Linked DNA regions of Canis lupus familiaris. The protein of the gene in region 3 interacts with the protein of the main gene of each other region in a biochemical or structural test. Links are inferred from orthologs where the notes say so. Each region holds a gene or a part of one and is shown on either strand. Other genes may lie near its edges. The genes, in order: NDFIP2, UBE2E3, NEDD4L and SGK1.

What was found.
Region 1: of the proteins of NEDD4L (region 3) and NDFIP2, one has a biochemical effect on the other in vitro, tested with the Homo sapiens proteins (2 studies listed by BioGRID, with this or other methods). The link is inferred for Canis lupus familiaris from reciprocal best matches to the Homo sapiens genes NEDD4L and NDFIP2.
Region 2: the proteins of NEDD4L (region 3) and UBE2E3 form a complex in vitro, tested with the Homo sapiens proteins (3 studies listed by BioGRID). The link is inferred for Canis lupus familiaris from reciprocal best matches to the Homo sapiens genes NEDD4L and UBE2E3.
Region 4: of the proteins of NEDD4L (region 3) and SGK1, one has a biochemical effect on the other in vitro, tested with the Homo sapiens proteins (5 studies listed by BioGRID). The link is inferred for Canis lupus familiaris from reciprocal best matches to the Homo sapiens genes NEDD4L and SGK1.

What each region holds. Positions count from the first base shown.
Region 1 is NC_049243.1:32,849,753-32,857,280, forward strand, and holds part of NDFIP2 (NEDD4 family-interacting protein 2), read left to right. Parts: intron 1-2,363; coding exon 2,364-2,529; intron 2,530-7,528. UniProt on the Homo sapiens protein: Activates HECT domain-containing E3 ubiquitin-protein ligases, including ITCH, NEDD4, NEDD4L, SMURF2, WWP1 and WWP2, and consequently modulates the stability of their targets. As a result, may control many cellular processes.
Region 2 is NC_049257.1:24,630,225-24,637,752, forward strand, and holds part of UBE2E3 (ubiquitin-conjugating enzyme E2 E3), read left to right. Parts: intron 1-4,203; coding exon 4,204-4,336; intron 4,337-7,528. UniProt on the Homo sapiens protein: Accepts ubiquitin from the E1 complex and catalyzes its covalent attachment to other proteins. In vitro catalyzes 'Lys-11'- and 'Lys-48'-, as well as 'Lys-63'-linked polyubiquitination.
Region 3 is NC_049222.1:18,067,883-18,075,890, reverse strand, and holds the start of NEDD4L (E3 ubiquitin-protein ligase NEDD4-like), read left to right. Parts: upstream 1-3,109; 5' UTR 3,110-3,177; coding exon 3,178-3,225; intron 3,226-3,970; exon of another isoform or gene 3,971-4,249; intron 4,250-8,008. UniProt on the Homo sapiens protein: E3 ubiquitin-protein ligase that mediates the polyubiquitination of lysine and cysteine residues on target proteins and is thereby implicated in the regulation of various signaling pathways including autophagy, innate immunity or DNA repair.
Region 4 is NC_049222.1:27,423,907-27,432,136, reverse strand, and holds the start of SGK1 (serine/threonine-protein kinase Sgk1), read left to right. Parts: upstream 1-3,813; 5' UTR 3,814-3,877; coding exon 3,878-3,946; intron 3,947-8,230. UniProt on the Homo sapiens protein: Serine/threonine-protein kinase which is involved in the regulation of a wide variety of ion channels, membrane transporters, cellular enzymes, transcription factors, neuronal excitability, cell growth, proliferation, survival, migration and apoptosis.

The DNA.
Region 1 (7,528 bases), on a different chromosome or scaffold from region 3:
AGGACAGTGGTTTTCCTTTTTTTGACACCATCACTGTTAATTGTTTAGTTGATAATGGTAAGTTTATACTATATACTTAATATAAGTATATTTACTTTATTTGCTTTAACTTGCTCATCTAATATTTTTGCTCTTCAAAGTATGATCAAAGATGGAACTCTCCTGGGTACCTTGTAATAGGAAACATAGAAGATGCTTGGTGACGCAAGACAGAGTGTTGCTAGTCAGGAGGATGGTCATGTGATGCCTGCTTAGAAAACTGCTGCAAGTAAATACAAAACTCATAGAAAATTCACTTTATGATTATTTGACCTTAAATTCAGTATCTGTGAGTAAATGTTATTACCTAAACCTTGGTGTTAGGGGAAAAGAAAAAAACAAACTTATTAACTTGAGGAATGATTTTAAGTATGTTTATGGCAGTTCTGTTACAATAGAATTTATGAACTCACAGAAGTATCATGCTAGTGTGATCACTAACCAAGACACATACAAACAGTAGTGAAGTAAATTTTACTTTGCATATATATATATATATTTTGAGGCAAGGGAATAACTACTTATTGGACTGATAGCACCAAATTATTTCAGGCCACAAAATAAAGTATATTAAATTAGAGGGGAAGGAGGAAACTAGTATTTATTAAATGCCTTCTGTGTGTTAGGTGTTAATGTTAGATGCTTTTCAAATGTTATTTTACAATTCTATGAGGATTTTGGCTGCATTTTGAACTTAGACTTGGAGACACCGAGGAACTGAAAAGAGGTTTATCAAAGCTCCTAAAAGGGGGAACAGAAATTTGCATGCTCTTTTTTTTTTTTTTTTCCTCACTACATCACAGAACTCAGATTTGTGTGTGTACAGATTTGCTCTGCGACAAAATTTATTTTGGGGATTATTTTTAACATTGAATTTCTTTAAAGTGCAAGAATAAATTAAGGTATGAAAATTGAATAATGTTGAAGACCTGTAGTTTCTCTTCAAACCAAGATTCTAGCGAATTTAAAAGTATCTTAAAAAATCTAGTAAGAATCTTTTCCGAATATATTTTAGGTGAATTATAGTACCTCTTAAAATTTTTTAGAAAAGATTTTATTTATTTAGTAGAGAGAGAAAAATCCCAAGGGGTGGGGGAGCGGAGGGAGAGGGAGAAGCAGATTTCCCACTGAGCAGGGAGCCCTATGTGATGCAGGGCTGGGCTCATTCCCAAGACCCTGAGATTATGACCTGAGCCAAAGGCAGTTGTCTATTTAACAGACTGTGTACCAAGGCATGCCTTTTCGATGAGTCACTTTTTTAGAGTATTGATGCTTTTGGTTGACCTATAGTTAGTTTGCCTACATGTTATTATCATCTCCTAACAAATGAGCATTTAAAAGAATACTTATAAATGAAGTAATAAGTCCATAGCCCTACTGCTTAGGTTTGATTCCTGGCCTTACCCTTCCTAGCTGCTGTGATGTCTGGCAAGTTACTTTAGATATCTACATTTTCAAGGTTGTATTCACCCCCACCCTTTTAATCTGTCAAATGGGATAACATTCTCTATTTCATAGATTTGTTGTGAGGATTAAATGAGTTAAACGATTGCAGATCCAAAATATTATCTTGCACTTACTGAGCTTTCAATAAATATGTTGTGTTGAAGAACATCTTCCAGGATTTTACATTGGATTGATTGATCTTGCTTTATAAGTAATTCTTTGGGTACTTGAGAAAAACATCAGAGTATTCTACATTTTTGGAATGTTTATTATTTCCTTTTATTAATTCAGGTTACATTTTCAATTATGCTAGATACTAGTGTAATAGAAATGGTATTGTGGTTTTATTATTAGGTGCTTTACTTTTCACCGTAGTACACAGTGATTAACACATGGTAGACAATATTTATGGTAGGATTGAATGAATTTGAATCTATTTGTAGTCATGATTTTTTTCTTTATGCTTTCTTAATTTGAACTTCATTTTTACTGTAAAGAAACAACCAAAATTTAAATTCTTCATGACTACTTAAGTCTCTTACAAATTTTGTTCATCTTTTTAAATGGTTTTACTTTGTTTTTAGCTAAAAAATGATCCTTTCCCTGAAATAATCTTTAAAAATTCTCTTAAAATTAAAAAAAATAGAGACGCCTGGGTGGCTCAGCAGTTGGGCATCTACCTTCAGCTCAAGGTGTGATCCTGGAGTCCCAGGATCGAGTCCTGCATCGGACTCCCTGCATGTAGCCTGCTTCTCCTCCCTCTGCCTATGTCTGCCTCTCTCTCTATCTGTCTCTCATGAATAAGTAAAAATCTTTAAAAAATTTTTTAAAATAATAATCAGAATGACATTAATACTTCTTTTTCTTTGTTCTCTTAGCTTCACAATGAAGAGGATAATTCAGAGTCATCGGCTCTAGAACAATCATCAACTTCAAACCCAACACCACAGATCATTCAGACCACTCCTTCAGCATCGGTACTTGAAACGGAGTCTTCTCCTCCACCTTATAGTAGTATTACTGTGGAAGTACCTACAACTTCAGGTATTGTTTTTAGTACCAAACATTTAGTAATACTTTTAGTAGTTCAGGCTTTTTTTTTTTTTTTTAAACTAGTGTGGTTTTGTTTAATTATAGAGTTTGTTAAAGAGGCTTCCTGGTTTTATATATTTTTTTTTAAGAAAGGTTTTCTCGAAGGACAGTTTGTAAAATACTTATTCATAAATTACTTGTCTCTTATTTTTGCTTTCAAAAAAATTACAAGTGTAAACTTTATTATGCTTACTAGAATCTATTTCTAATGGAGTAGCATATTCCTTTTGGAAGAAATAAATTGTATATGCACAAAATTCATTTATGTATATATATATATAGACACATGCACATATAGATACATACATGTATATATACACACATACATATTTGTGTTTGTCTATGTCTACTTATATAGTTATAAAACAAGGTGTTATTGATGCTGAATGTGAGCAGGAATGTGGTATGTATGAACAGAGGTGAAGGGTGCACATAATTTAATCATATACACGGTAATAATTCCTGGACATGAAGCAGTGGTTCCTGTGTCCTACTATTCATTGTATCTCTTCAGGTCATTCTGGAGAACTACCCTCATCTATTTCTCTGGCCACAATTTATATTTTCCCAGTAATGCTAAATTAATTATTTTATATATATATATATTTTTTTTTTCTTTTCTTTTTTTTTTTTTTTTTTACTTTTATTCCAGTAGAATTAACATACAGTGGTATACTAGTTTCAGGTTTACAATATAGTGATTTAACAATTCTGTATTTTACTTAGTGCTCATGATAAGTGTACTCTTCATCCCACTCATATTTCGCTTATCCCTCTACTCACGTCCCCTCTGCTAACCATCTATTCTCTGTGGTTAGTAGTCTTTTTTTTTTGTTATGTCTCTGTGTTTTCTTTCCTTTGTTTTGCTTCTTAAATTCCACATATGAGTGAAATTCTGTGGTATTTGTCTTTCTTTGACAGACTTATATCACTTAGCATTATATAGTCTAGCTCCATCCATGTTGTTGCAAATGGCAAGATTTCATTCTTCTTTAAAAGGCTGAATAATAATCCATTGTGTGCATGTGTATATATCATTATCCATTCATCTATCAGGGGGCACTAGGTCGGCTTCCATAATTTGGCTATTATAAATAGTGCTATAGTAAATACAGGGGTGTATATATGCTTTTGAATTAGTGTTTTCTGTTCTTTGGGTAAATACCCAGTAGTGTGATTACTGGATCATAGGGTAGTTCTATTTTTAATTTTTTAAACCTCTATAATGTTTTCCACCGTTGGCTGCACCATTTTGCATTCCCACCAGCAGTACATGACTGTTCCTTTTTCTCCACATCCTCACCAACACGTTTCTTAATATGTTTTTATGTACTATTATAAATAACCTCTAAATATTTTATACATTCATTATGAAACATTCTTTAAATCTGTTATAAAAATTTTAATACTAAAAATCCCTTCACTAGAATATTTCATCTTTCTTATCTGTTATTCTATAATTAGTATCATCATTTGTCTTAAACTCTTGCCAGCTTTCTCTGATTACCATTTCTGCTTCTATAGATTTTATCTAGACCACATGGATTGTGTAGAACGACCAAACCATTTACTTTTTTCATTTACAATTTTATGCAGTTACTGAAAATCATCTTTATGAAGGTTTTCTCACTGATAAATTAATAAATGATTACTCCTTTTATTTGTATATAATGTTTATTTAGATCAATATGCTTGTTTAGTGCCAAGTTTGATGGACAGTTTTTATATTGATGTATAGCAGTTTTATTTATTTTATAATTTAATTGTTGGATTGGTGCTTGCTAAAATTTATTATGGGCTGAATTTTCTTCTTCTTATTCTTTAAGTTTCCAGAATATAGTTCAGTGAATTTGCTATCCTAAATTAAAAAAACAAAAAAACAAAACCTATTTGATGGTAGTCTTAAAGAAAGAAAATCAGTTGTTTTGCTGATGTTTGTGTATGTTTTTGAATGATGGAGGATGGTAAGATTAAAATTGTAATATTTTTGGTTGTTGGCCACCATTGCCACTGCTGTTTAACAAGCTAAATGGAGTAGAGCCATTTATTGTTATTAGTTCTTGTGGATTTTGGGGTGGGGGAGGCCCAATTATGCAGTATTCTCCCAAGATCTCATGTGATTATTGTCTTGTGGTGACCTGGAGCTCAAGTCACCTTGATTCCTTCCTTATTAACATATTTGGCAGCTGATGTAGGCTTCAGCCAGGGCCTCAGCTGGGCCTATTGGCCAGAACACCTGTATGTGGCCTCTCATTTTGGCCTGTGCTTCCTCCCTGAATGGAGGCTGGGTTTCAAGAACAAGCATTCTGAAAGCCAGATAGAAATTCTATCACTGGAATGCCTGGGTGGCTCAACAATTGAGCATTTGCCTTCGACTCAGGGCTGATCCCCAGGGTTCTGGAATCGAATCCTGCTTTGGGCTCCCTGCGAGGACCCTGCTTCTTCTTCTGCCTGTGTCTCTGCCTCTCTGTCTCTCTCATGAATAAATACAATCTTAAAAGAAAAAAAAACAAAAGAAGCTCTGTCACCTGTTATGGCATTGTCTCAAAAGTTACACAGTGTCATATCTGCCACATTTGGTTTGTTAGAAGTGAGTCGCCAGGTTTAGTCTTTATTCAAGAATTAGTCTCTACCTCTTGATGAGAAGAGTTTCAAAGACTAGAGTGAGTTTCAGCACTGTCACAACTGTCTCCTGCCTCTTCCCCTATCACCAGACCTTTTCCTTTGTCACTCTTCTTCATTTCAGTAAATGGCTCCAGTAGGCCAAAAGCCTTGAAGTCATCTTTTTTGGGACCTTATCACAAAATTAAATGTTTTTTCTCCTGTACTTTTCAATGTAATGAAATATGTTATTAATAGATTTATTTTTTAAGCCAATTTCTGTACTCTTAGAATAAATTATCACCATGTTCGCATCTCTTCTGGATATAGATTTGTTAATATTTTTTTAGAAATTTTACAGTTTCATTAGTGGGATCTTTATGTACTATCCTTATGGTTTTAGTATTAATATTATGGAAGCAACATAGAATGAACTGAGAAACTTCTCATTTTTCTATGCTCTAGAATAGTTTTGATAATAGAGCATGGCATTTTTAAAGGTAGGTAATTTTCAGTTGTAAGACAAGTGGAGCCTGCTACCTGGCTGTTCAATTATTCTTATAATGTGTGTGACTACTAGTCTCAAAATTTTATTTTTACAACTGTACTAAAAGACCATTCATGATTGTTACTGAGCACAAGAGTTAAGTTCTAGAAGTTTGCATCTCTTTAATGAAAACAATTGATACTATTTTTCTTCAGCCTTTTAGTGTTGTATTTTAAGCATTGACAGTACCGATTTTCTGTGGAGGTTATGTTCTTCAGTCAGTTACTTTCCAACTGGGCTTACAGATCTGAGCGACATCAGTAATAATAGTTGACATTTGTATAATGCTTTTACAGCTTACAGAGTCCTCTTGAATACTTTTAAATTCTGTCATACAGCAAGTAATAGCCTTTCTGGGTCAGTTTTATGGATGAAAATGTAGAGCTTCATAAAGTGCTTAAGTGACTTGCTTGAGGTCACACAACTTAAGGAGCTGGGACTGGAGCTCCTCAAACATTAAATTTTCTGGTTGAGAACTGCTACCTTAAAGGATAGACAGAAAATAAGTAAAATTAACCAGTGAAAATTAAAGCAGTAGCAAAATTGTGCTCTTTCCCAACTTTCATCTGTTACTGGTTAGGATATTTTTGTCTATCGTGGGAGTTTAAACTTTGAAAGCTTACATATCTGTTGTTAATATAAAAGATCTCTCTTCTTGGATAATGTATGTCATTGTTCCAGTTTTTAAATTTCTACTTTTAATGTTAGTGCCTTAAAATTCATTGCTTTCACTTAAATTTTCCTTCTAGTCTTCAGAACTGAAGAAATCTATTTACTTGGCCACGTGTGGTGTTTTTACATCTGAATAAGTATTTTCTTTTCTTTTTTTTGAATAAGTATTTTCTAAGAATTTATGACTCTTGTGCCTTTTTGGTGTTTAACATTCAGTAGTACACTGCCGTTAGCACTTCCTGTCATTGGATTAAAAATTGCCCAGCTTTAGATCTTTAGCTCTTATTGATAGCATTAGCAAAACTTATTTTAAAGTCAATATACATTAAAATATAATAGGAAAAGTATTGCTAGAAAGAAATGTGTTCTCATGTTGGAAATGCAAAAAGTTCTGATGGAGAAAATGTACAAATACTGTAGTTACAATGAGGAAATCACAGAAATTATAGCGTGGACTACTATGAGAACCTACTTGTTTTTCATGGCAGTGATTCTAGCATAAATCTAATCAGTTTATTGACCTATATGTATCATTTTACTTGTACTGCTTTAGATGGTGATAGGTATGCAGGTGTTTTGTTTCTTTTTAATTAGCACTCTGGACTTTTGTGTTATGTTTCTAGAGGTCATATTTTAAAGAGAGTTTAAAAATTGGGGAGGGAGAAATTACTCATTAAAAAAAGTCTAAAAAAACTAGGTTGATGGGGGGGGAAGAGTAAAAAAAAGAGCTAAGAATTGTCAGGTTTTTGTTTGTTTGTTTGTTTTTGTTTTTTTAAGCAATGAGAGATGCTGAGTTTGCCGAAGAGATTCAGGCAGTTGCTAAAACTGCCTGTAGAAAAATGAACCTCACATATTATCAGAGCAGATAGGGGGAATCAGGAAATCCCTGGGTTCTGCTACTTACTGATTGTGCAATACTGTGCAAATTACTTTTCTGAAACTCAGAGTTGCTAGGATTAATGTATATGAAAGTGACGTATTAAATGGTTAAGTGTTATTCCTGATATTTCTATTTCTTTGGCTGTGAGAGTATGAGCATGTAAATTCAATTCTTTGAGCATAGCAATAGGCACAGAAGATTCTTGTTATGCAGTGAATTTCTCACCTCCATTGTGCATAGACTTTAAGAAT
Region 2 (7,528 bases), on a different chromosome or scaffold from region 3:
AGATGAGGTCTCTGCTTTTGCAAGAATGAAGAATGGCATTAACTGAAATAGGGAAGATTGTAGGAGGAGTTCAGGAACTTAGGTTGGGACTTGTTAAAATATGAGGCACTTTTCAAAATTATTAGATTTAAGACATTAGATTTCAAAACAAAGACTGTTCAGTAAGCATTTAGTTGTATGCCTCTGAAATTCAGGATAAAAAATCTAGGCTGGAGATAGAGATTTCAGAATTAAGAGCCTACTGGTGCTGTCGGAAGCCCTAAAAATGCATGAGATCAGCAAATGAGTGGATGTGAGTAGAAAAGAGAAGAGGTCCGAGGTCTGAGTTCTGGAGGACTGGCTATATTGATAGGTTAGGGAGATAAGGAGCAGCACTAGTGGTTGAGAAGGCAGGACCAGAAAAGTTAGGAAGAAAACCAGGAAGTTTGTTACTCTGGCAACAAAACAGTGTTCTATCAAGGAGGAAGAAGTGATTCTGTGTCCAGTGTCTCTGGGTCAGTCACATAAGACGAAGATTGAGAAATAAGCTTTGGGTCTAGTGATGAGGTCACTGGTGACCTTTGATGAATGCTGTTTCAGAGTAGTGATGAGGAGTAAAAAGCCTGTTAAGAAATCATTGACATGGGGCCTGGAAGGGGTAGAGTAATAGAGACCTGTCTTTTAATAAAGATTGGGGAAATGGTATTTGTGATACTCTTATGAATATGATTCAACAGAGAGGGGAAAAACAAATGATCTAGGATGGCATGTGCAACTGCTTGTGTCAGAGAGAGAGAGAATGCAAACTAGTGAAAAGCTATGAATAGCACCTGTCTGGAGATTGTTAGCATTTATCACTCATTTTCTACTCAGCTGTGAAGCCTCAGTGGCAGGTCAGATGCTAGCCTGTAAAATGCTTTGCTTGAATTTGGGTGGAGTCAGCTCTTGCATCCAACATCTCATCCCCCACACCCGCCACCAAGAATGTCTTGATGTGCAGTTGACACCTTTGTGAGAAGGAAAGGGGCTCCTTATTCCAAACGAGGCCGCCAACACAAGGGCTGGATTGTAGCCCTCACCCGCCTTAGGCTCAGTATTCTTGGAACAGTAAAGGAATCCTACTACCATAAGCTGGGGCCTTCTTCTTCAGTGTTCCCTGAGACAACAAGGAAAGTCACATTTATTATTCTGCTGTAATAAACATATCATTTGTCCTGTAGCAAAACAGCATAAATGAGAAGAAAGCAAACTTAAGAACCAGTACAAATTTCGTGTAGGAATGAATCCCAGTCCTTCTGCCAACTGGCAAAGGGGATTTAAGACGCATCATATACTTTCTGTGCCTTGTTTTTTTCAACTGTAAAGGGTGGGGGTGGGGGGGTCGGCTTCAACCAGTTTCTTTTCAGTCTGAAATAATGCGACTCATTAGAATATAGTAATCCCCAACTTTTGTGTATCCCTTGAAGCATAGCATATTCCTGTAAGAACTGAGAAATAGCACTGAGGAAGTTTGGTTTTGGGTTTTTGTTTCTGTTGTTTTGTTTGAGTAACAGCACCCCTTGAATTTTTACACAAACAAACATTAGCAAAATTTGAAGATTAAATTAGATGTAGCAGCACTGAAATTAGTAAGAGGAAATATATAGCAAACCATTGAGGACAGTACAGACTAGTTCACAGACTGTCCAAGTTCTGTCTGAGTCATTTTTGGCTATGGGACATATGGAAAGTTATTTAACTCTCTGAACCTTTGTTTCCTCATCTAAAAATAGGAATGTACTAATAGTACCTACTTCATGGATTTGTAGAGAGGATTAAATGAGTTATGCACTATGCTTTGAACAATGCCTGGCTTGTGGTAAAGATGGAATAATCCTTAAGTAATATTGTTTTTAGTATTTTTTATTACTATTACCACTACCACAGTGTGACATGTATAGTTTAGCAACATTTTAGTGAAGTGGCCATATCATAAAAGTCTTTGACACTATAATTTAATTGTATAATGATTATCTTAAGTCACCAAGGGAAAAATTTGCTTGGAAAAAGAAATGCTCTTGAAACTGGTTAAAACCCTTTTTCGTTTGTTTACAAAATTAGGACTCAATTTTATGTTTTTAGTTACAATAAAAATTCACTTAGGGAATATAGCTGATTCTCAAGTGATGACAGAACAGTGAGCCATTATTGTGATTAGTTTCAATGCTGTGTATACTTGAATCATATAAAACAGTATTTATTTAAAAAATATTTTTCCCTACATAGGCCAAAATAGTAAGATTTTATTGTTGATGTACCTACCTTAAAGATAGGTATTTAAAGCATGCTGCCAACATTTTGATTATACCATCAAGTTTTCTACACCCTTTCTGTATGAACTATTTTTCAGAGCATACATTTGATTATTGATAACATCATTTACCTGACTTTACAATTCAGTTTGTTTTACAGAATTAATAAGATACAGTTAAATTATTTTAACTATACTTAAGTCCTATTGTGATTAATGTGGACTATTTATCAATGCAGGTTTATCCTTATTTCAAATCAAACACGCAGATCATTTCTAGACTCTAGTGGTCCCTTTAAAAGAAGAAATGCTGTATATGCATTATATATATATATATATATATATATAGTTCAGAAAGTCAAGATAATTTATGATGTTAAAGGTCAGGGGAAAATGGAAGTCTGTAGGTAAATTGGAAGAGAATTTAAGGATTGTTCAATGTTCCTTACCAGCCAATAATTGTGAGGCTAAATTTTATTTGAATTATCTCTCTTTTTCAAATTTTATAAATGAAATGATAATATTGTTGAGCACAATGCAGTGTACCTGGAACTCTAGCACCTAGCATTGACCATTCCCTAAATGTGAGACTAAAAGGAACCAGACAGAGCTCCTTAAGGAAACGACTGATTCCAAAGCTGGAATCCTGAACATCTAGTTATGCCAGAAAATCAAAGAAGTACTTATAAATTACAGCAGCCTGTCACAAGACTACAGGGGCCATTTTGAAGGATCTCCCACTGGCCAAATTTAGGATAATTTGAGCATCAAAACAATTAAAGGTGGTGATGAATTCTATATAAATCATTAGAAAAAGTAAGAATCCAGGAAACCACACCAATAATACACAGATTCATACCATTGGAACAAGAGAGGGATCAAGGGCTAGCTGGTAAATGTGGAGGAAATGCTGAATTTGGAAAATCATGATTTTATCACCATCACAGTGCAGTTTAGTTCAGCCAAGAATCACCGTTGGGTGTTGAATCTAGGGAAGAAATTTTGATGAAGAGCAGAATATTGGTATGGTCGAAAAGTATCTGTCCAAAGGTTATTTATTGATTGCAGGGGAAAGATAATAAGCAGTAGGAAAATCGGACAGCACTTGATCTAGATGATGAAAATTAACATCACCAATTAGAGATAAGTGAATGAATACCTTGGTACCGTGAGAACACATCACTTACGTACTGCCGTGGCTGGGAATGCACTGTCTGCATCTAATTATGAGGAAACATCAGATAACTCCAAAAAAGATGAGGATTCTATTAAAAGAAGGAGGTGATAGGGAGGGAGATGAATGTATTCTTAAAAAATGTTAATGTATAAAAAGTCCAAGGTAGAAAGATTCCATGTTAAAGGAAACTAAAGACATGGAACGTAGATGATCACAAGACTGGATTCTGTATCTGGATGGAAATTAAATTTTTTAAAAGGCGTTATTGAGTGTGGACATTATTTTGCAGATTATAGGTTAAAGTGTGTTTTACTGATATATTTACTAAAATTGTAGCTGCATTGTGATTATATTGGAAGTTAATTTAGGAAATGTGCACACTAAAGTATTTATGGGGAAAGGCTTACTCTCAAATGGCTTAAAAAAAGCACTGGGTGTCGGTGTGTGCGTGTATACACAGACACAGACATAGAAAGCATGGGAGGGAGGGAAAGATGAAACAGCTAATGGGGCAAAATGCTAACAAGGAGATTCTGGGTAAGGTTATACTGGTATTCTTTGTTCTTGAAGTTTTTCTGTAAATTTGAAATATTTGCACATAAGTTTATACATTTGTATGTACACATTGGGGCTTATTTCTTTTATATTTATCTCATTGCTCTAGGTTGCTAATTTACCTTTAATACCTAATTGGTTTAAGATGTTAACATCCATTGCTTACAGATACACACATTGATCTTTAATTTCTTTTAAATAGTGCTGGGCCTAAAGGAGATAACATTTATGAATGGAGATCGACTATACTTGGTCCACCAGGTTCTGTATATGAAGGTGGTGTGTTTTTTCTGGATATCACTTTTTCATCTGATTATCCATTTAAGCCACCAAAGGTAAGAACCTAGATGTCCATTCTTTAATATTTATCCTTCTCTGAAATGCTAGAGATTAAATGTGTATTTATGTAGTCATTTTCATTTCATTGCTTTTCATGAAGTGATACGGAAACTCTCATGTAACCCAAGTATTTTAAAACTGAAAGAAATTGATTTCTGCCTTATACAAATAGCTTTATAATCAGCGGAAAGAGGGTTTGTTAATTGCAAATAAAAATATGCTACTTTGCATACCAATAAAGCAGATGCATTTTAGATTTATGTTTTAAGGGAAAATATCCTATGAACCTTCTTTGAGAAACATATGCGGGTAAAAAGTAAACAGAATTAAATAAGAATTAAATAGCTTGAGTTTTGTGCTCAATACCTTACCCTTACAGATCAGCAAAAACTAACAAACCATAGCAAAGAAGAGGGAAACTACTATTATTTAATCAGCTTACTTTGTGCCCTCTGTAGATACAATGTAGAAATGAGAATGAGGGTAGTTGGGTAGCTTAGGCCTCAGTTGGCTCTCAGTATGAACTGGATGGATAACAGAAGGGTTGAGTTGTGCCTTGTGAGGATTGGCAATTATTTTTCACGTCTTAAACATGACAATTACCTGAGTAGTTTCCTCCTCTCACTTCTCATTATAAAGTGGTCAAGCAAACAGGTAAAAACCGCCAGTATTAAGCCTGAACATAATTATGGTTTAGTTACAGGGACTTCTGACCTGTCAGGGGAAAAGTATGTTGTTATCAAGCCTCTAACTAGGATGAAATGTCTTTCCTTTCAACATAGTTCCTTATGTTCCCTACGCTATTTAAAATACATGTAGAGTTTAATGCCTGCACTCACCTGGATGCATAGGTGGGGTTGGGGTTGGGGGTGGGGTTGAGATTGAGAGAGAGTAAAAATTGAAGGTATTTTTTTTGAAACCCAAGATTATTTCTCCATTATCTAATAAGGTAACAACAGTTCCACCTAGTGGTATCTACCTCAAAATACAGACCCAGAGCTCCCTATCACCTAGAGGTATTTACTGTCAACTGGAGTTATCAGTGATCCCATCAGAATTTAAGATCTTTAAACGACTGTCTTATTGAATGTTTTCAAGTATGTAGAGTGTATCTTGCTAGATCAAATAAAGGAACAAAAAGCCCTTTGTTATTGATACTACAAATTGTATTCACATTCAAAATGACACGTTAAGTGCTGATACATCCGTAACTGCTCAATTTTGCATTCTTTGGTTAAGTTTCCCATATTACAGAAAACAAAACCACAGCAAAATAGCCATGGCTGTATTTGCAAATAGTGATACTTCTTTCCAGATGCCTCATTTTTCTTGAAATTGGTTTTAATGTGGCAGCAAAATTAGATAAAGTTTGCAAGATGTATTTTTTACAAAATTATTTTTGTGAGGGAAGATCTGTTAAAGAAAGACTCCTATTTTTCTTAGCATCTTTTAATGTAAAATAGAAATTGACTAACAAGAGTTTCAAACTATAGTTCTGTGTATGATTTATCAGTTGTTTTGGTTACTATAGTGGTTATGTTTTAACTTAGCATTAATTTTTTTTTCTGAAGTCTTAGTATTTTAATTTTCTAACCCTTGCATGTTGAATCATTCCTTTTGCCCAAGATCTCTCACACAGTGTTATGAACCACTATCCAGATCTGTGGTTGGACACGTGAAAAAGAAAGAATACTTCTGCTCTTATCTTGGTGTTAGGTATAATTATTTCTATACAGTTCTGCTTATTTTTGAGGTTCAGATAAGGTGTTGAACTTCTTGAGGGATAATACAAATTTAATTCTCTTCCATTCACCAATTATTAGTAGCTGAAAGGATTCAAAGTATTTTTAAAAATATTTTTTGAAAATATATTTATTTGAGAGAGAGAGCATGTGCACGAAAGAGCAAGCAGAGGGAGAGAGAGAAGCAGACTCCCTGCTGAACAGGGAGCTAGATGTGGAGCTCGATCCCAGGACTCTGGGATCATGACCTGAGCTGAAGGCGGGGCTTAATGGACTGAGCCACCTAAGCGTCCCCAAAGGATTCAAAGTATTAATTGCATTGTGTTTATAAACCACAGTCTGTTTAGTAGTCAGCTGTCGGTGATCTAAACATATATTATTCCCATATTCTAGAGCAGAAGTGTCTGACAAAAATAAGGCAAGCTACACATGTTATTTTAAATTTTCTATGAGCTACATTAAAAAGGGTAGAAAAAGTGAAATTAATTTTAATAACATCTAGTACATCCAAATTCTCATCATTTGAATATGAAACCAGTGTAAGTATTATTAATGTGATATTTTACACTCTCTTTCTGATACTGTGTCTTTGAAATCTGGTATATATTGTACATTTTTAGCCCATCTCACTTCAACTAGCCACATCTTAAGAGCTATAAAGCTAGTATGTGTACCCTATTACACAGAGGTTTTGGAGCTACAGTCTCTTCCTTTTTCTTATTGAATGTTTTCAGTTGAATGCTAGACCACTGGTTTCTTTTTGTTTTTTTTTTCTTTTTTTGAAATTTTCTTATTTTTAATTATGCATCCTTATCAGAAATATACTTTTGAGAACTTTTAATATTTTCTTTCTAGACTCCATCTGGGAGATCATGTAGTATCCTGCTAGTTCTAAAACATCAGGAACTTTTTCTTTTTTTCTCTGCTACTCCATATTAAGAATCAGGAACTTTTTCTTTTTTTCTCTGCTACTCCATATTAAGAATTAGCCACCCCATTAGTGTTGGTGACTGTTTAAAACTTGCCGGTACTTGTTCCTATGATTTATTCTTTTTTTTCCACATATCTCAGATGTATTAGTTTCCTTTATTCATTACCTCAGGACCTTGTTTCGTTTTACTGTCTTAGTCTAACAAGACGCTGAACCAACAGCAGAAATGAAAGGCTGAAAAATAGACAAGTGATTTCATCAACCTTCCTCTAAGTCCTTGGCCAATATTTTCTGATACATGACAGGACATTAACTGAGTTGATACTGATCTTTTCTACTAAGAAACTAATGTGACTTTTGTTTTATGGTAAAAAAAAAAAAAAAAAACTTCACAAGTTCCTTCTTACCTCTGGCACTAAAGCATTTCTGTTTTCTCTCACTTGCTTTACACAGAGAGCTGTATGTGCACACGTGTGCACGGTATATATGGTCATACATACATAGAATTATTGTAT
Region 3 (8,008 bases):
TCCCTATTTGTGATCACCTGTTGTACTTTAAAATTGTTCTTGCTAATTTTTCATTTCTGATGACCTAATGAAGAGCATTCACCAAACACCCACGGTATCAAATCTTAGATGTTTAAAGGCAGCCTCCAAAGGGAACAAAACGGAACAAATTCTATGCTAATTGTTGGGTAGACGGGAACCTGACTGGAGGATGCAAGAACACTTTGGCTTTGGACGAGAATGCCAAATAGTTTCTCTTAAGGGTTGTCCTCCCCACACTACCTACCCCCCACCCCCCAAAAAAAAGTGGATTGCTATTCTGAGACTTCAGGGTGCTAGGGGGCATGTAGAACTGGGCAGTCCATAATAGTCCCATTAAGTACATATGTTTATATCCTACCTCCTTCCACAAAGGATGTATGTTTATAATATGCAGTTTTCTCTAAATTAAAAAAATCAGGATCATAGAAAATATGTAGAGAGTAGGCTAGAGATCCCTACATTTTGCTCTTAGAATCTCCTGGAGCGCCTCTATAAATCCTGATGCCCACGTGGCACCCCACATCAACCAGATCCGTGTATGAGGGAGGGAGACAGAGAACAGTAGTTCTAAAGATCCCCAGGTGTTCCCGTGTACAGTGAAGTTTGGGAACCACCGGCAGAGGCTGCCATTCTCAACACAAACATTAGCATCACCTGGGAAACCACTGGAACTACTGATGCCTGCACTCCTCCCCTGAACCAATGTTATCATAGTCTCGTATGCTGGCAGCTGAGCACTTGGTATTGGGCACTGGATCATTTTAAAGCTCCCCAGATGGTAACAATGTGCATTCAGCATAGAGAACCACTGCCTTGGGGGGAAGCCGATTCGTAATTACAACGGGTACTGATTTCAATTTTTTATAGGTTCTCTTATGGCTCACAGCCTTAAAATTGGTCCTGAGTTTCCTGGTGGCCAAAGTAAATAGAAAAACAATCATTTGAAATAGTTCTCCTCATCGTATGTAAAAGCTTACCAGTTCCTTGGAAGAAAGAAAGCTTTTCCTCATAGGTCTGAAATGTCTCGAGTCTTCTTAACAGGGGCCATTGAATAATGGTATGGATCATGGTTTTATAAGCACCCCTACAATAAATGACATATGGTCAGTCTCACATCGTAGTTTCTAATTGCCATCCCTAAGGGAAAGCCAAGGATATGACCCAAGAGTGCCAGTAGTGTAGGCTGTTGGGGTGGGGCAGGGGAGCAGGAATGATGAAGAGGGGATAAGGGAAGTATGAGACACCTCTATGGTTTCCAGAAGTTATGGCTTTCCCCAGAGATAAAGCCTGGACCTGTGTACCCCCAGTGTGCAGGAAAGGTGTCCTATATCATTAGAAATTACAATTCTCTATTTGAAAACTTTAAAATCTATTACGCCCCCTCCACCTCCCAGGGTACAAGGCTTGGCAAAGTTTTGGGGTAGTGAGGGTAAAGAAGCAGTGAAGCCTATGGGAGTCACAGGCACCATGTTAAAATTTGGGGGGGGGGTGTATGTATGTGCACAGGTGTGCATGTTAGAGAACCTTTTGTTTATTAAAAGAAAAACAATCTAGGTCTGAAAAAGTGAAAAAACTTTGGCCCAAAAAGAACAGACCGGTCATTTCTGTTCCTCCATAAAGGTAATTTTCTTTTTTTCCCCCTCCGTTGGGCTTTTCTGGCATCTAAGTTCTGTTGACTTAATAGGACACGATTTGCAGACAAGAAGGCTTCGCAGGACAGTGCTGGCTCCACGGGGTTAAGTCTTGCAAAGAAACCCACCATACAGACCCATACAGACGCAGGGCACAGGGTTTTAAGCCACAGCAGTGTCACCGGGAGGCCTAGGTGGGGGCGGTAAGGTGGGGGATGCCCATTTTCTTTCGAAAACGATCTAGCAGGGCCCACAAGCAGATATTTTAGCAAAGTAGCTGGAAACAGGCATAAGGACGCTCATGGATCACGTGAGTTCTCCTTTCTTCCTCGAAACATTCTAAAAGCGCCCTGTTCATTCCAAAGTAGACATTCTGAGTGAGGCTTCTTTTCAAAGGAAAAATCGCATATTGTGCTTATAAAAAGACAAAAATTCGCAACTGCCTTTACCAGCTAAATTTAAGGAAAGGCTTCCCGGAAAAAGTGGAGGGATGCATTTCTTTCGCTTATTTAAAAGTCGTCGGCGGCGTCCCTATGGATCTTGGGGGTGACCAGGAGGGGATGTGCTCCGGGAGGCACCGCGGCCGGGACGCGGGAGGAGCCCGCCCGGGTCTGCACGTGCGGGGGGCGGGGGCTCCCCGAGCTGCACGGTCTCCCGCGGGGGCGCCCGGGCGAGCGGAGCCGGCTTTGCTCAGGGGGGCGGGTGCGCGCCGGGGCGGCGCGGCCTCGGCCTCGGCCTGCGCCCCCGAGCCTGACCCAGGCAGTGGCGAGCGGCGGCCACACCGGGGCAGCCTCTCCCCCGCGGGCGGCCGGCCGAGGGGTCCGGAAGCATATGCCCGCCTCCCCCCCGGACCATCGCGGCGCGCTCGGGGCTCGGGGCGCAGGGAGCGCGAAGGGGGTGGCCCGGGGCGCCCCGGGCGCCCCGCCCCCGCCCCCAGCCCCCCACGCCCAGGCCGCCCCGGCCCCATTGCGCGCGCGGGGAGGGCCGGCTCGGGGCGCACCCCCGCTCCCGCCCCCGCCCCCGCCCCGCCAGCCCTCGAGCGCCGCCCCCGAGCCCCGCGGGTGGGGGGGGCCTGGGCCCCGAGCCCCGCCGCGCGGCCTCTGATTGGCTTGGGGGGCGCGTGCGCCCGCCCCGGCGAGCGGGGAGGGTCCCCCCGGGCGCCGGGCGGGGGCGGGGGCGGGGGCCGGGGCGGGGAGAGCGGGGGCCGCGGGGAGCCGGGCTCGGGCGCGCGGAGAGCCGGCTCGGAGAGCGCCGGGGAGGGCGGCCGGCGGGCTGGGCGCGCTCCCGGGGCCGCCTGCCTGCACCGCCCCGCGGCCTTCCGGGAGGAAGCGGCGCCCGCGGCGGCCGGGGCGGGCGCTCGGGGCGGGCGCTCGGGCTCCCTCACCTGCCGGCGCCCGGGTCCCCCCGCAGCCCGCCCGCGGGACGCGCCAGGCCGGGCGCCGAGCAGCGCAGGAGCGCAGGAGCGCAGGAGCCGCCGGCCCAGCCGCCCGGGAGCGCCCCGCAGCCCGCGGGGGGCGCCGGCTCCATGGCGACCGGGCTCGGGGAGCCGATCTACGGACTTTCGGAGGACGAGGTGAGCGGCGGCCGCCCGGGTCCCGGCGGGCGCGGGGTCTGCGGGCGGGGTGCGCGCCGCCCTGGGCCGCGGGGACGGAGACGCGTGCGCCCCTCGGCCGCGCTCCCGGGCTCCCGGGCAACTTCCCGCCGCTCGGCCCTGCGGCCCGGGAGCCCACGCCGCGCGTCGCGGCCGGGTGTCGGCGGGACCTCCCGGGGCCGAGCGGCGGGCGCCCCGGGGCTGCGTGCGCGCAGGGGCAGGGGCAGGGGCGGGGGCCGAGGCCGGCGCGCCCGGGGGTCCCGGGGGTCCCGGGGCGGGGGCGCGGCCAGGGGCGGCAGGTGCCGCCGGAAACTTGGAGGGAGCCCGCAGCCCTGCCATGTCTTCTTTTCTTTTCTTTTCTTTTCTTTTCTTTTCTTTTCTTTTCTTTTCTTTTCTTTTCTTTTCTTCCTTTTTTTCCTCGGCCCCCCCCCCCCCCGGCTTCCGAGCCCGGCACCCCCGGGGTAGGTGGAGAGACAAAAGCTCAATCGCTCCCCCTTATTAATAAAGCAGATGCGGGAAGCCACGCCCCCGAGGCTGTGGCTGCGCGGGGTGAGCTTTGTTCGCGGCCTCCGAGGTGTCCCCGCGGCCCCCGCCCCCCCGCCCGCCCGGAGGGGACCCCGCGCCCGCGCCCGCCTCGGCCCCGGAGGGCGGGGACAGGTAGGGGGGCCCGTCGGCGGGGCGCGGGCGCGGGGCTCCCGGGGGCGCTTTACGGCCCTCGGTGCATTACTCAGCGGGGAGGTATTTCCTCTCCTGGTCGTGCGTTTCATGAAAAGTTGATGCCTGGAAATTCGAGGGTTTCGGGCTTTCTCTTTCTTCCCCCTCCTTTCTTTTCCGAGGTCCCCTCTTTCTCGGGTGCTGGGGGTGGGGTTGCTGGAGAGGCTGTTATCCGGACCTGCCCCGTGATGGCTTCTCTCTCTGCAGCTTTCCTGCCCTGGTTGGGGGTGTGTGTGCGTGCGTGTGTGTGTGTGTGTGTGTGCTTTGCAAGTGTGTGATGGAATCGTGTGTGTGTGCTTTGTGACTAATGGAATTGTGCGTGTGTGCACTTTGCAAGTGTGTAATGGAATCGTGTGTCTGTGCTTTGTAAGTGTGTAATGGAATAGTTACCTGGGGGTGGAGAGAGTGTTTGGGGGTAGGACTTTTTTTTTTTTTTTTCTTTCTTTCTTTCTCTCTCGCCAGAGCTACCTAAAGCTTGCCTCGGTATGTATTTTATCAAAGAATGATCACAATGCAAATAATGTGTGATTTACGTTTTCGATTATTTTGCCCTGCTGTGCTCAGGGCGAGGTAATTTCCCCCTTTTTTGAAGGGGGGGGGCAGTTACCTGGGGATGGGTGGTGAAAAGGCTCCTTGTTGCTTTCACCCAGGGGTTTCTCCCGCTCCCCGGCTCCTCTACCCTTTTGAGGAGCTTTCCCTTTCATTCGGTACTTCTCCATTTAATTAGCAGCCCTAGATGGCAGGCAGTGAGCTTTTAGAAAGGTGCTGAGATACTGACATTCCTGAACAAAGGGCTTTTTGAGGTATGGTGGGGGGAAGACAGCTGCACTTCAGCTTTGGTCTCTTGTAAATTTTAAATTACATGATTCTTAGCGCACCAAAGAAAAATATATTAAGAGTGTTTGGAGAAATTCAACTTGATGAATGGATTCTCTGCGTGCCCCTGTTGTGTGTTCTTTGTTTACATTTATATCTAGTGTCACCATCTACCTAGGGCACATCCTGCCTCTTTAGTTAACTCAGATCTCCTTAACTGGTGTCCAGTGTGAAAGCGAAGGGTGGAATATAAACAGAATTGGTATGTGTGTGTATATACGTGTGTATGTGTATGACTGGGTTTACTCCTGCACGTCGCTGGACCGGTGTTTAGGGCTGGTGTGGGGAACAGCCCAAGGTGCTAAGGCCATTTTCTTGATTGAGTGATGGATATGTTGCTGGGACTATTAAGTTCCTTCCGCACGTTAGATTACAAAAGACAAGTGGCATCTGTTGTCTTTTTTCAGCTTCTACCAGTGGGGGGGGGGGGGGGGGGAATAAGGCAAGACTGTTTTTGATGACTTCACATTTCTATGGTGTTTGCTTTTTTTATGGGAGGTATCGCACCGTCGGGTTAGCCTTTGGAAAATCAGGGAATGCCTTCGTAGAATATTAACAAATTGTTGAATTTGCACAGCTTGTTTTGTCTCCCTGAATTAGTCTGTGTAAGAAAACAAATGAAAGATCTTAACAGGCTCTTAAAGCAGACTGGCTCATGAAACCAATGGCAGGGTTGTTTTTCCAAGGCGTGTTAAGTATGAGTGCACTTCAGTTCACACACTTGGTGTGCTGCCGAACATCACACGTGAAGATATGTTGATTGCTACATAAGAGCTATCTTACACATCTCTTAGCAAACTAGGTGTCCTTATACCTAGCACATTTCTTAAAAGTGAGTTTGTATTTTCATTGGAAGTTGATGGAAAGCGTTGCGTGTTTGGAGCGCACTTAGCTTTCTGTCCCATCTCAGAAAGATTTTTTAGCTCTAAGTACTACTGGTGATGAAGCATTGCAGGGGGATGCCAAGACAGGATCTTGCTCCCAGGTCTCTCCAGCTTGTAGAAAGAGAGGAATTAAATATGGGCTTTGCTTGTGTGAGTGCGTGTACTGTTTATTTTTTGTGTGTCTTGTTGAGGTTCCTCAGTGAGCTCAAGCTCCTATTTACTGATTTGAATCAGGTCACCTTAGGGAAACCAAATTTGAAATTGCCATCAGATGAAGGACTTTGGTGTTTGAGAGATTAGCAAATTAGCAAAACTTGTGACTCTGGGCCCAGCATCAGATTTGGTTTGGAATTAGAACAGTTGGACTAGTTGCTGCATCTGGCTTGGTTCCTGGGCAGTTTTTTTGTTGTGCTTTTTGTTTTTATTTATTTTGTTTATTTTTTTTGGCAATCTGTAGCACATTTTGGCAGTTTACTCCGGAGTGTTACTGTTAACCTTGTGAAGTCTTTTTGTTGGAACATCTTAGAAAGGTATCATTTATTGAAAAGATTTCTGGGTGGAATACTAAAGTCTGAATGACAGCTTATTAGATGCGGCAGTTTTTTGGTGGTTACATGAGACAGATGGCCGGGCTGATGTGGGATAGCACTTTGACAGCCTTCCTCTGCATTATATACAAACAAGAATAGTTGGCTAATGTTTCATATGCTTTCTCTGCATCTAGCACCGTGTTAGCAAACTTTATGTACTTGCTGTCTCGTGTAATCCTCACGAACCTCCTAAGAGGTGTGCCAGGATTTACAGATGAGGAATAGAGGCTCAGAGAGGTTAGGTGACCCTTAGAAGGACACACAGTAAGTACGTATGGAGTCAGGATTTGAACTCCATTCTGTTGATTGCACAGGCCTGGTTTGTAGCATTCTTCCTGTCTTCCAGGTATCATGAGATGTCTTCATAGCCGGGTTGTTGAAGTTAATTTGCAGTGGAGATAAACATCAGGAGTTGTAAACTGAAGACTTGCAGGTCTGAGTTGACCAGGAGGCTGGCTTAGTATGGTCTTCGCTGTGCTTTAAAGCTCGGGAAGTTTTACAGAAAATGGCAAAAATCTGACCTCACTGGGGCTCCATTCTCACCTGGCAACAATTGTGTCCACGTTGTGGGGACAATGGGGAGGTGGTAGCTGTGCTGCAGTTCCTGCTACCCCCTCTACTGCTTATCGTTTTAGGGTTCTTTGAACTCCAGAACAAACATTTAAGGTTAACCTTTGGCCTAGGTATATTATCTTGAAGATGCTGTCAACCTTAAGATGCACCATTATCTTCTGTACCTCTAAGAGAGAAAAAAGTTGCTGTTGCACTATGATACACCGCTCATTTTATTATTATTATTTTTTTACACTGTTCATTTTATGGAGCATCCTTATTTCAGGCTGTTGCTGAATTCCAGACTCTCGTTAAGGGCCAGCTCTCGGACTCGTACCCCAGTCCTTCACTTTGAAGTCAGTTGCCAGTCAGATCGCTGCCTTTCTGTTTCTGAGAAAAGGGGTAGCATAAGGGAAATGCCCTTCACTGGGCATTGGCGGAGAAGAAACAGGGAGCCTATGAGATAGGCCACCCGAATAGCCATCTGTAAGTAATTGAGGGTAGCTGTTAATTTTTAAAAAATGGTCCATGTCAAGAGATTCCTTGAGATCCTGCGTGCCATCTTTGCAGCTGTGCAAAACAATTGCAAGATTGCGTTTGGAAATTAGTTTAGATATTGTTTGGATCTATAGGTGGTGCTGAACAGTTTTGTAGAGGCAGGTAAGACTTGCCCAGTTGTTCCAACTCCAAATGCCTGAGTCCAGCCTTGCAGAGCTGGCTGATGTGCTTTGTGCCTAGGTTGATGTGCTTTACTCCAGTTACAGTCTGCATCGTGATTGCTAACGTTTAAGAAAAACCCTAAAAGGGGACTAGGTTTTGTTGTGACACTTAAAAGCAATTTTATAAATTGGTGAATATAATGTATTGTCTTAAATTCTACTCTTATTGAATTTTTATTTTCTTCAAGGGTCCTATGGAATTTATAGAAACTGACGTCTTAATTTATGTTCAGTTTTATTAAGTGCTTAATTTTCTCATTACTGAAAAACAGTTTCCTTAAAGAGTAAAAATGATTTTGTTCAAAGGGGTGAGGACCGTGGCAAAACGGAAATCCCCAGACGATCTTGGTTTCTTTACCGTAGCAGAACACAAGGGAACTGATTGGACATCTCAGTGCAGGGAGGACCTACATCTCCAGGAAACTTCTTG
Region 4 (8,230 bases), about 9.4 Mb from region 3:
AATCAAATAAAAAATGTAAAGTTTATTGTTTTGCAATGCCTTTTCACATATAATTTGGCACTGACAATTTCTCTACGAGGTAAATGGGATGAGTTTGATTGTAGCCTTTTACAGATGAGAATACTGAGGCTCACTGACCTGAAGGGACTTGTTCAAGGTCACATGGAGGTCACCATAGCTTCCATATCAACTAAGTATTCTCTCCACCTCCTGTATAGATGAGTCATCAGTTCTACCCAGCTACTTTATTTTTTGTGTTATAGGTCAAATGATACTGTTGAGAGAAAAACAGTGAATATTTTACACAGAAACAAATAGAGTTTCCAGGGATTATTTTCAACATTAGAGTTTTCCATAAAAAGATTTGTAAAAAAAAAAAAAAAAGAGAGAGAGATAGAGAGATGTGTCATCCCAGGGTTGCAATGCCATTGAGGCTTAAAGAAGAAATGGTGACAACTGCGGATCCTTTGGTCTTACTAGAGCTCAGTACATTGGTTATGATGGGATTCACTGAATTGTTTCAGAATCTCAAAGGTATTTAATGATTCACACAAATGGTCTGTGCCAGAGTCATTGATGTTAGCTTTTCATAGTTTTTTATTTGATTTCTTAGAAAACCATTTATTGAATGCCAAGCATGGTCCAGGCACTCCACAGTAGGCAGGGGCTACAAAAATGAATAAGCATTTTTTTTAAAGATTTTATTTATTCATGAGAGACACAGAGAGGCAGAGACAGTGGTAGAGGGAGAAGCAGGCTCCATACAGGGAGCCTGACGTGGGACTCCATCCCGGGACTCCAGAATCATGCCCTGGGCTGAAGGCAGGCGCCAAACCACTGAGCCACCCAGGGATCCCAGAATAAACATGTTTAATGAGAAAAGCAGGTAAGTAAAGAAATTAATTCAACTAATAAAGCAAGTTTAATGTACAATCAGGATGGTTGAAGAAACCCTACTTTCCTTTTTGCCATAAGCAGCAGTCTATGCTCCTTCATAAGTACCAAGAACCCTGGCAAAGGAGACAGTGAGTACCTGGTAGTCACTCTGGGCCTACCTGCAGGTAATTTTATAAAAATAGAGGTAAGAGTGATATGAGAGATGCCTTGTTTTCTCTGAGTAGCCAACACAGTGTTGGCTTACCAGATCCAGCACATTTCTCTATTATTGCAGTGACCGAAATAGAGTCCAAAGTAATACCCTGACCTGGCCAGAATCCCTGCCCTATACTTCTCCTTCATCTGGCCAACTTCTACTCTTTCTTTAATGCTTTGCACTAACATTATCCCTTGCAAAAAAACTTCCCAGGCCTCCTCTGCCTACTCTAAACCACCTTGCCAGGCCTCCAACTGCAGTGGGGATAATGCCAGTACAGATATCATTCTTGCCACAGTGTATATTTTTCCACTAAGCTGTAACTTCCTTAGAGACAGAATCTATTGATACTTGTATTCACAGAATCTTCCCTAGGATTACCATAGACTCAGAGACAGTGGCAACATCTCCAAGGGATCACATATACTGGGGCAGAGGGAGAGGATTTTTTACCTCTACCTCTACCTCTTCCCCTATAATTTCTATTAGCCAACCCTCTTTACCCCAAATAAACATACAGTATACTTAAAACCAGTATGCCTGCTAGGTCAGTGTAGAACTAAGGCAAGGCCCCTAGCATCCCTTGCCTACAGGATGCTCAGAGAGCAACTTCGACATATCCCTCAAACTCAATAAATATCTGTTCACATGCCTTCCGGAGAGAAGAAAGTTGAAGAACAGGAAAGAATTTGAATGGTCATGATTTTTAAAAATCAAGTTTACAGCACTATAACTCACATACAGCAAAATGTTCTTCCTCTTTTCATATAAAAGTTTGATGACTTTTGACAAACGCATAGTCATAAAACCACCATCATGATCATGGTGGGAACATTTCTACAATCCTCAAAGATTCTCTCCAAGCTACCAGAGTTTTAAATGAACTCTTCAGAAGAACCACAAAACCGAATACTGTCATGGATTAAATAATGTATCCTTGCATCTTGGACAATTTAATGTATATCTCCAAAATGAATGGTCGATTTTTTTCCATCACTCATAATGCCATCATTTAGTTGTGTTTAGAAATCTCAAAGCATTTAGCAAATAAGATTGAACTGTCATTTCCCAAAGAAACTTGGTCCAGCTCTAGAGGTTTATACTCCAATTCAATGAAATGAACACATCTCTTCCCATTTGGCCTGTATGTTTCTCTTCTAGGTATATTGTTTTTAATGAGTTGGCCATTTTTTTTTTATCAAGTTGGCATGTGCCTTCCCCTTACTTATCAATTACACTCCTTTGTGACTATGAAAAGGCTCTGCATCCTGGGGACACTTGGTACATTTGGATTTGATTTGATGGATAAATGGAATGACACAGCAAACAAGTGAATGAGTAAATACACAAGTAAATGAAGGAAGGAAGGAATGAGCAGTTGCCTCCATTTCATGGATGAGGCACTGTCTGAGAGACACCATGAGGTCAGGTGACTGGCAAAAAGCCATACATTAATAGGCTAGCAGTGCCAGATTAGATGCCAAGCTTATTTTCTTTGCTGTCTCCATTTACCCATCAACTCTCATTTTTGAAAGTCTCCATAAAATATCAACATTAAAGACTAAACACGGAAAAACAGGCCAGACACAAATTAAGTGGTGTCTTAAAAATGAATTTAATGTGCAAAGAATGACATGAGTAAGGGTTTCAGGGGTAGCTTTCCACTTGATAGGAAACGGCTTTCTTCTCATTCATCAGGACTTCCTTTCCATCACATGGATTCAGTAATACTTTTTGGTGATGCTCTTTGTGTTTTTTGTTTGTTTGTTTGTTATGTTTTTTTTGTTTTTGTTTTAACCATAAGGCACTTTGTATATGTCCATTGTGTTCTTTTTAAACGGCCTTCTTTAGTGAAAAAGACAATTACTTTCACTATTGCCCACTAGATGATGACAAGTGGGGAGAGGACACTAGAAGGGGTTCTATATATATGGTTAGTGTGAGATCCTCCATTGTTCTACCTACGCTTGCACCACATTTCATTTTCCTCCACATCTGAACAGATCAGGATTGAATCTGATCACATTTCCATTGAGAGACTCCCTGTATTCAGGAACACGTACCAAAAGAACGTCAGTGAGCATAAGACAAAAACGGTCTGCGTTTCCTCTGCCACTCTGATCTAAATGGTCCCAACAACAAAAAAGTAAAGAAATACACTATTAAAGTAGCCCTCCCGAGGGGTGTCAACTGCTCTCCGGTGCGTCCCAGCCCAAGCCTCCTCTCCCGGGCGGCTCAGATATTCGGGATCCGCGGCGCCTCCGCAGCGCGTCCCCCCCCCACCCCCCCACCCCGGCCTCTCCGGCTCCCCCCTCCCCCGCTCCCCCGCTCCCTCCCTCCCTCCCTGAGGCTTCTGCTCCTTCTTACTCCTTCTCTCGGCTGCTTCACCGCAGCTCCCACCGAACTTGCGCGGCCGCAGCAGCCCTCCTCGGAGCCGCCCGCCAGCCGCGCGTCCCCCGGGCCGCCAGGTAGCGGGGGCGCGCACGGGGAGCCCCTCTCCGGGCCCGCCAGCCGCAGAGCATCTCCCGGGGCCGCCGGCCGCCGACGCCCGCCGTTCGCCGCCGCGATGGGAAGAGCGAAGCCACCGGCCGTGGCCACCGAGAGCGGGGAGAGGTTGCCGCAGTAGCGGCGCGGCGGAGCGAGCGAGCGAGCGAGCAAGACCCCGGGCTCCGCGTCCCGCTGCGCCCTCGCTGACTGTCTCCGGGGGGCGGGCGGCCGGGCCCCGCGGCACCCACCGGGCGCTGCCACCCTGGCTCTGTCGCAGCGAGCTCCCCGCTGTGGAAAATGGTAAACAAAGACATGAATGGATTCCCAGTCAAGAAATGCTCAGCCTTCCAATTTTTTAAGAAGCGGGTAAGGACAGGTTTTGTTCCTTTTGTTTTCTGCTCTTCTCGGAGACGCTCGAGTCGCTGGCCCGGGGTGAGCCCCAGGTTCTCTTGCAGCGGCCGGAGAGAAGGGCGGGCCGCGGGAAGCGTGGTCCAGCTGGGAAATATCCCTGCCTCGATGCCCCTCTGCGGGTGCGGGTGCGGGTGCGGGTGCGGGCGCGGGCGCGGGCGCGGGCGCGGGCGCCTGGGAGGACCGGGTGCGCTGGGCTGCCCTGGCGAGGGTGCGAGCGCCGAGGGGGCATTTCTCAAAGCCACGAGATGACGGGCGGTTTCTAAGAGAATTGGCCCCGGGTGCAGCCCCGGCTAGTACTTCTTCGGTCAGGGACCAATTCAGTAGCTCTCCTCTCTCGTCGTGGAAGGGTTCAACTTTTTCCACACCTTTCATTGACTCCGTTTCGGCTGATATTTTGCCGTCTTCATTGCAAGCGGCAGCGTCCAGCTTTCCAAAAACGTTCAGCCGGGAACTTGCCGGGTCTCTGTCTATGGTAAAAATAGCAAAGGACGACAATGACCTTTTGCAGAAATGATGGAATCCAGCATTTTAAATCCTCTATTTCAAGTTGCCTCGATGTTGCTCGGTTATGACTGCCTTTCTTTTAGCGAGAACAGTGGATGGTCTGAATCCAAGTGACAAGATGGGGTTATGCTGCTGTATACATTTATTCCTCCAATTCCTCCTGCTTCCATTCATAGCGTGAACATCACTTTGCTTACAAATGAGCAAAAGAAAAGGGGTGGGGGAGGTCTTTTTTGTGTGTGTTTCATGATAAACCCGATACATTGTGATGGTCACGCTCTGGTCTGTATAAACCGACAGATTTATACACAAGTGGGAGGTATGAAATGAATGATTGTTAAGGGACCGATGACTGACACTCTTGTGGAGAGTTTCGTAAGCAACAGAACCTTCCTTCCACCCCTAAATGCCCTGTCCTATTTAATCCTCTAGGGCAATTCCATCAAAATGGCTCTCTCCATTCATTCTTCCCATCCTTCATTCAGATCCTCTCTGTGCTGTGCCTGACACAGGGTCCTTCATTTAACCCATCAGCAGAACACAGTGAATTCCATACTGGGCCAGGCTACCTTCCTGCACCAAATGGGCAAGCTGGGAAAGCCGTGCTGGCAGCAGTAAGTCAGGCCCAGCTCGAGGTCCAGCACTGGCTCCCCTTGACTGTCTCATTGATACGGCACAGCCTTCCCCCAACTCCATGGGCCAAAACATATGCATTAAAACCAAAGCAAGACCACCCTGTCCTTCCTGCTGCTCCTGGAGATCCCTCACTACTGAAGATTGCAGGCTGAAGCAAATCAAGTCCGTGCAACTTCTGAGAGCTCTGCAGTATTTCTTGGTTTTCCCTGTAGTCAAAATGCTTCTTTCCAAGGAATGGGCCCCACTCTGAAAACTAATCTCCAACAGCAAACAAATGTTTTGCTGCTAATAATAATTTCTTAAAATGTCATAGCCCATAATTCAGTGCTTAAACCCTTAACTCTGTTTTAATTAATTAATTAATTAATTAATTAATTTAGTGGTATTGGTGGGAGTGGGATGAGGATGGTATTTTAAAACTCGGTCAGGGCAGCCTGGGTGGCTCAGCGGTTTGACGCCGCCTTCCACCCAGGGCCTGATCCTGGAGACCCGGGATCGAGTCCCACGTCAGGCTCCCTGCATGGAGCCTGCTTCTCCCTCTGCCTGTGTCTCTGCCTATCTCTCTCTCTCTCATAAATAAATAAAATCTTTAAAAAAATAAATAAATACAACTCGTCAGTTAGGTTATTTATTTATTTATTTTTAATCAACCAATTAGCTGTCAGGTAGAATCTTTTTAAGTGTTACTTATTTTCTTTGCTATCAAAATGCACTAATAGATACATAACTTACCGTCTGGTTTCTTTTTGCTTAAAAGCATAATTTACCCATCGTCTTCAGCTGGCACCTCTGTTGACCTTTAGTTTTGCAAAGAACTAGCTGCGGTTTTATCTGAGTATTTGGCAGGGAGTAGGAGGTCTATACCAAGATTTTCTGGCCAGCAGCTTCATCTACCTTCTAGAGCTTGGGTTTATCAGTTGCTGGAGATAGAATCAGAAATCCCCCTACTGGTCTCCTTGCTCCTCAAGGACGGCAAAATCAGCAGAATGTGACTTTGTAAGAAGTCATGGATAGCCCCAAAGATAAATTCCTTGATTCTTGTCTACTGGTATACAAATTCTGTTTTAAAAGCTCATTTCATTTTGTACCAGGACTTTTGCTTTAGGCTTTGCTCTTTTGTTTGTTTGGTTTTGGGGAGGTTTTTTGGTGTTTCATTATACCACCAATATTAAATAAATGTGTAAAACATCAAGACGATGCCAAAGTAAGTCCCACCTCTTCCCCAATCTCTCCCAGACATAACTGCTGCAACCATGTCGGTGTTCATAACTTCTAGCTTTTTTCTATGCATCTACATACACATTCATATCCTAGAATGTCTTCGTTTTCAGCTAAGAATAATCTATTTTCCCTTTCTTCTATTGTTGAAGTTCCACACATTGCTGCATATTTATTTTTAACCTAGATGGACAGTCTTACAAAGTGAGGCTTTGTTCAGTGCCCACATAAAACCATGAATAGATCTTGGGAAAAAAAAAAAAAACCCACAGGTATTTTAGGGCTCACGAGAAAGACTGAGGCTTGGACCCAAACTATGATTGCAGAAGGCTTGAGGGGTGCTCCTGCCACCTGTGAAACATTCCAAAGGGAGCACCAAGAAACTCACCAGAGGGAAATACCAATGACTTGCCCCATCATTCATTTAGAAGAATAAGTGTAGCTGCCATTTATCCACTGCTTCCTACATTCTGGAAGTTGAGGGCCAAGTACTTTACATATACAATCTCATTGAATCCTCACAGAAACCCTATGAAGTAAGAGAAATTATTAAATGTGCAGAGTGTGGCTTAGGGAGATTAAACATCCAACCCAAGGTCACGTAGCTAAAAAAGTAGCAGAGCTAAAATTTAAACTTTGTTTAACCCAAAACCTGTGTTCTTAGTCCAGACTTCTGATTGCAAATCATCCTCCTTACCTTTTTTTAAATTTTCCACCATAAAATCTTTTTTTTTTCCAAGTGAAATTTTATATTTCTATGCGAGGTATCAAACCAATAGAGGCAGCCGATCCTCAGCAGACAAGCTTCTGGAAGTTCCTTTTCAGCGCACAGTCTGAAGACAAGCAGTCTTGGAGCTATTCCCCCAAATCCTTCAGACTTATGCTTTCCACTCTCATGTCTTAAAAGCTCAACTAAATCAGCTTAATTTCATTTAGTTGAGACTTGCTAAGCTAAACTCCATAAGAGTTCTACTTTCAATGTCTCCATGTTAATGATAAGTTCGCATTAGATGCCTCTGGATTATCTTTTATTCTCAGAGTCTGTAAAAATTCACTTAAAATGAATGGGGAAATGTCCTTATCAGTTTTATTTGCACAATCCAAGAGCTTTAAAAGTTATCAGTTGTGCCAACGATAATCCATTTTCATGGATTTAAAGACCCGTTCATAATTTAGATTCTTGCATTATGACTCAGAAAACACAAACAAATGGCATGGTCTTCAACTTGATAATCTTCTCTGGAAATACATTAGGTATGTATAAAAGACTTCTATAGCCATAATTATATTGTCTTCTGTAAAATTTCAAAGAATATCTAGCCATATAAAATTTTGGAGAAATTGACCTCCCTGTTTTAATGATGAGGAGACAGTATCAGGAAGGTGAAGACACCTGCTCAGATTAGAATGGGGCTAAGCACTGCTCACTTGTAGGGTTTTCACTCTTAGATCTAGTGTACTTTCCTCCTCATCATGACCTCTAACTGGTTCAGTGCTTCATGCCTTTTCCATTTGTTTTCTTTTTTTTCTTTTTTTTTCTAAGATTTATTTATTTATTTATTCATTCATTCATTCATTCATTCATTCATGATAGACATAGAGAGAGAGAGGCAGAGACACAGGCAGAGGGAGGAGCAGGCTCCATGCAGGGAGCCCGATGTGGGACTCGATCCTGGGACTCGATCCTGGGACTCCAGGATCACACCCTGGGTAAAAGGCAGCGCCAAACTGCCAAACCGCTGAGCCACCCAGGGATCCCCATGTCCATTTGTTTTCTAAACAATAGAGTAGGAACAAAATCTAGCTCTTGTTTTCATAGAATTAACTGCCTAGTGACCAACTTTGACAAGATACTATTGTTTTGATGCAGTATTTCATGAT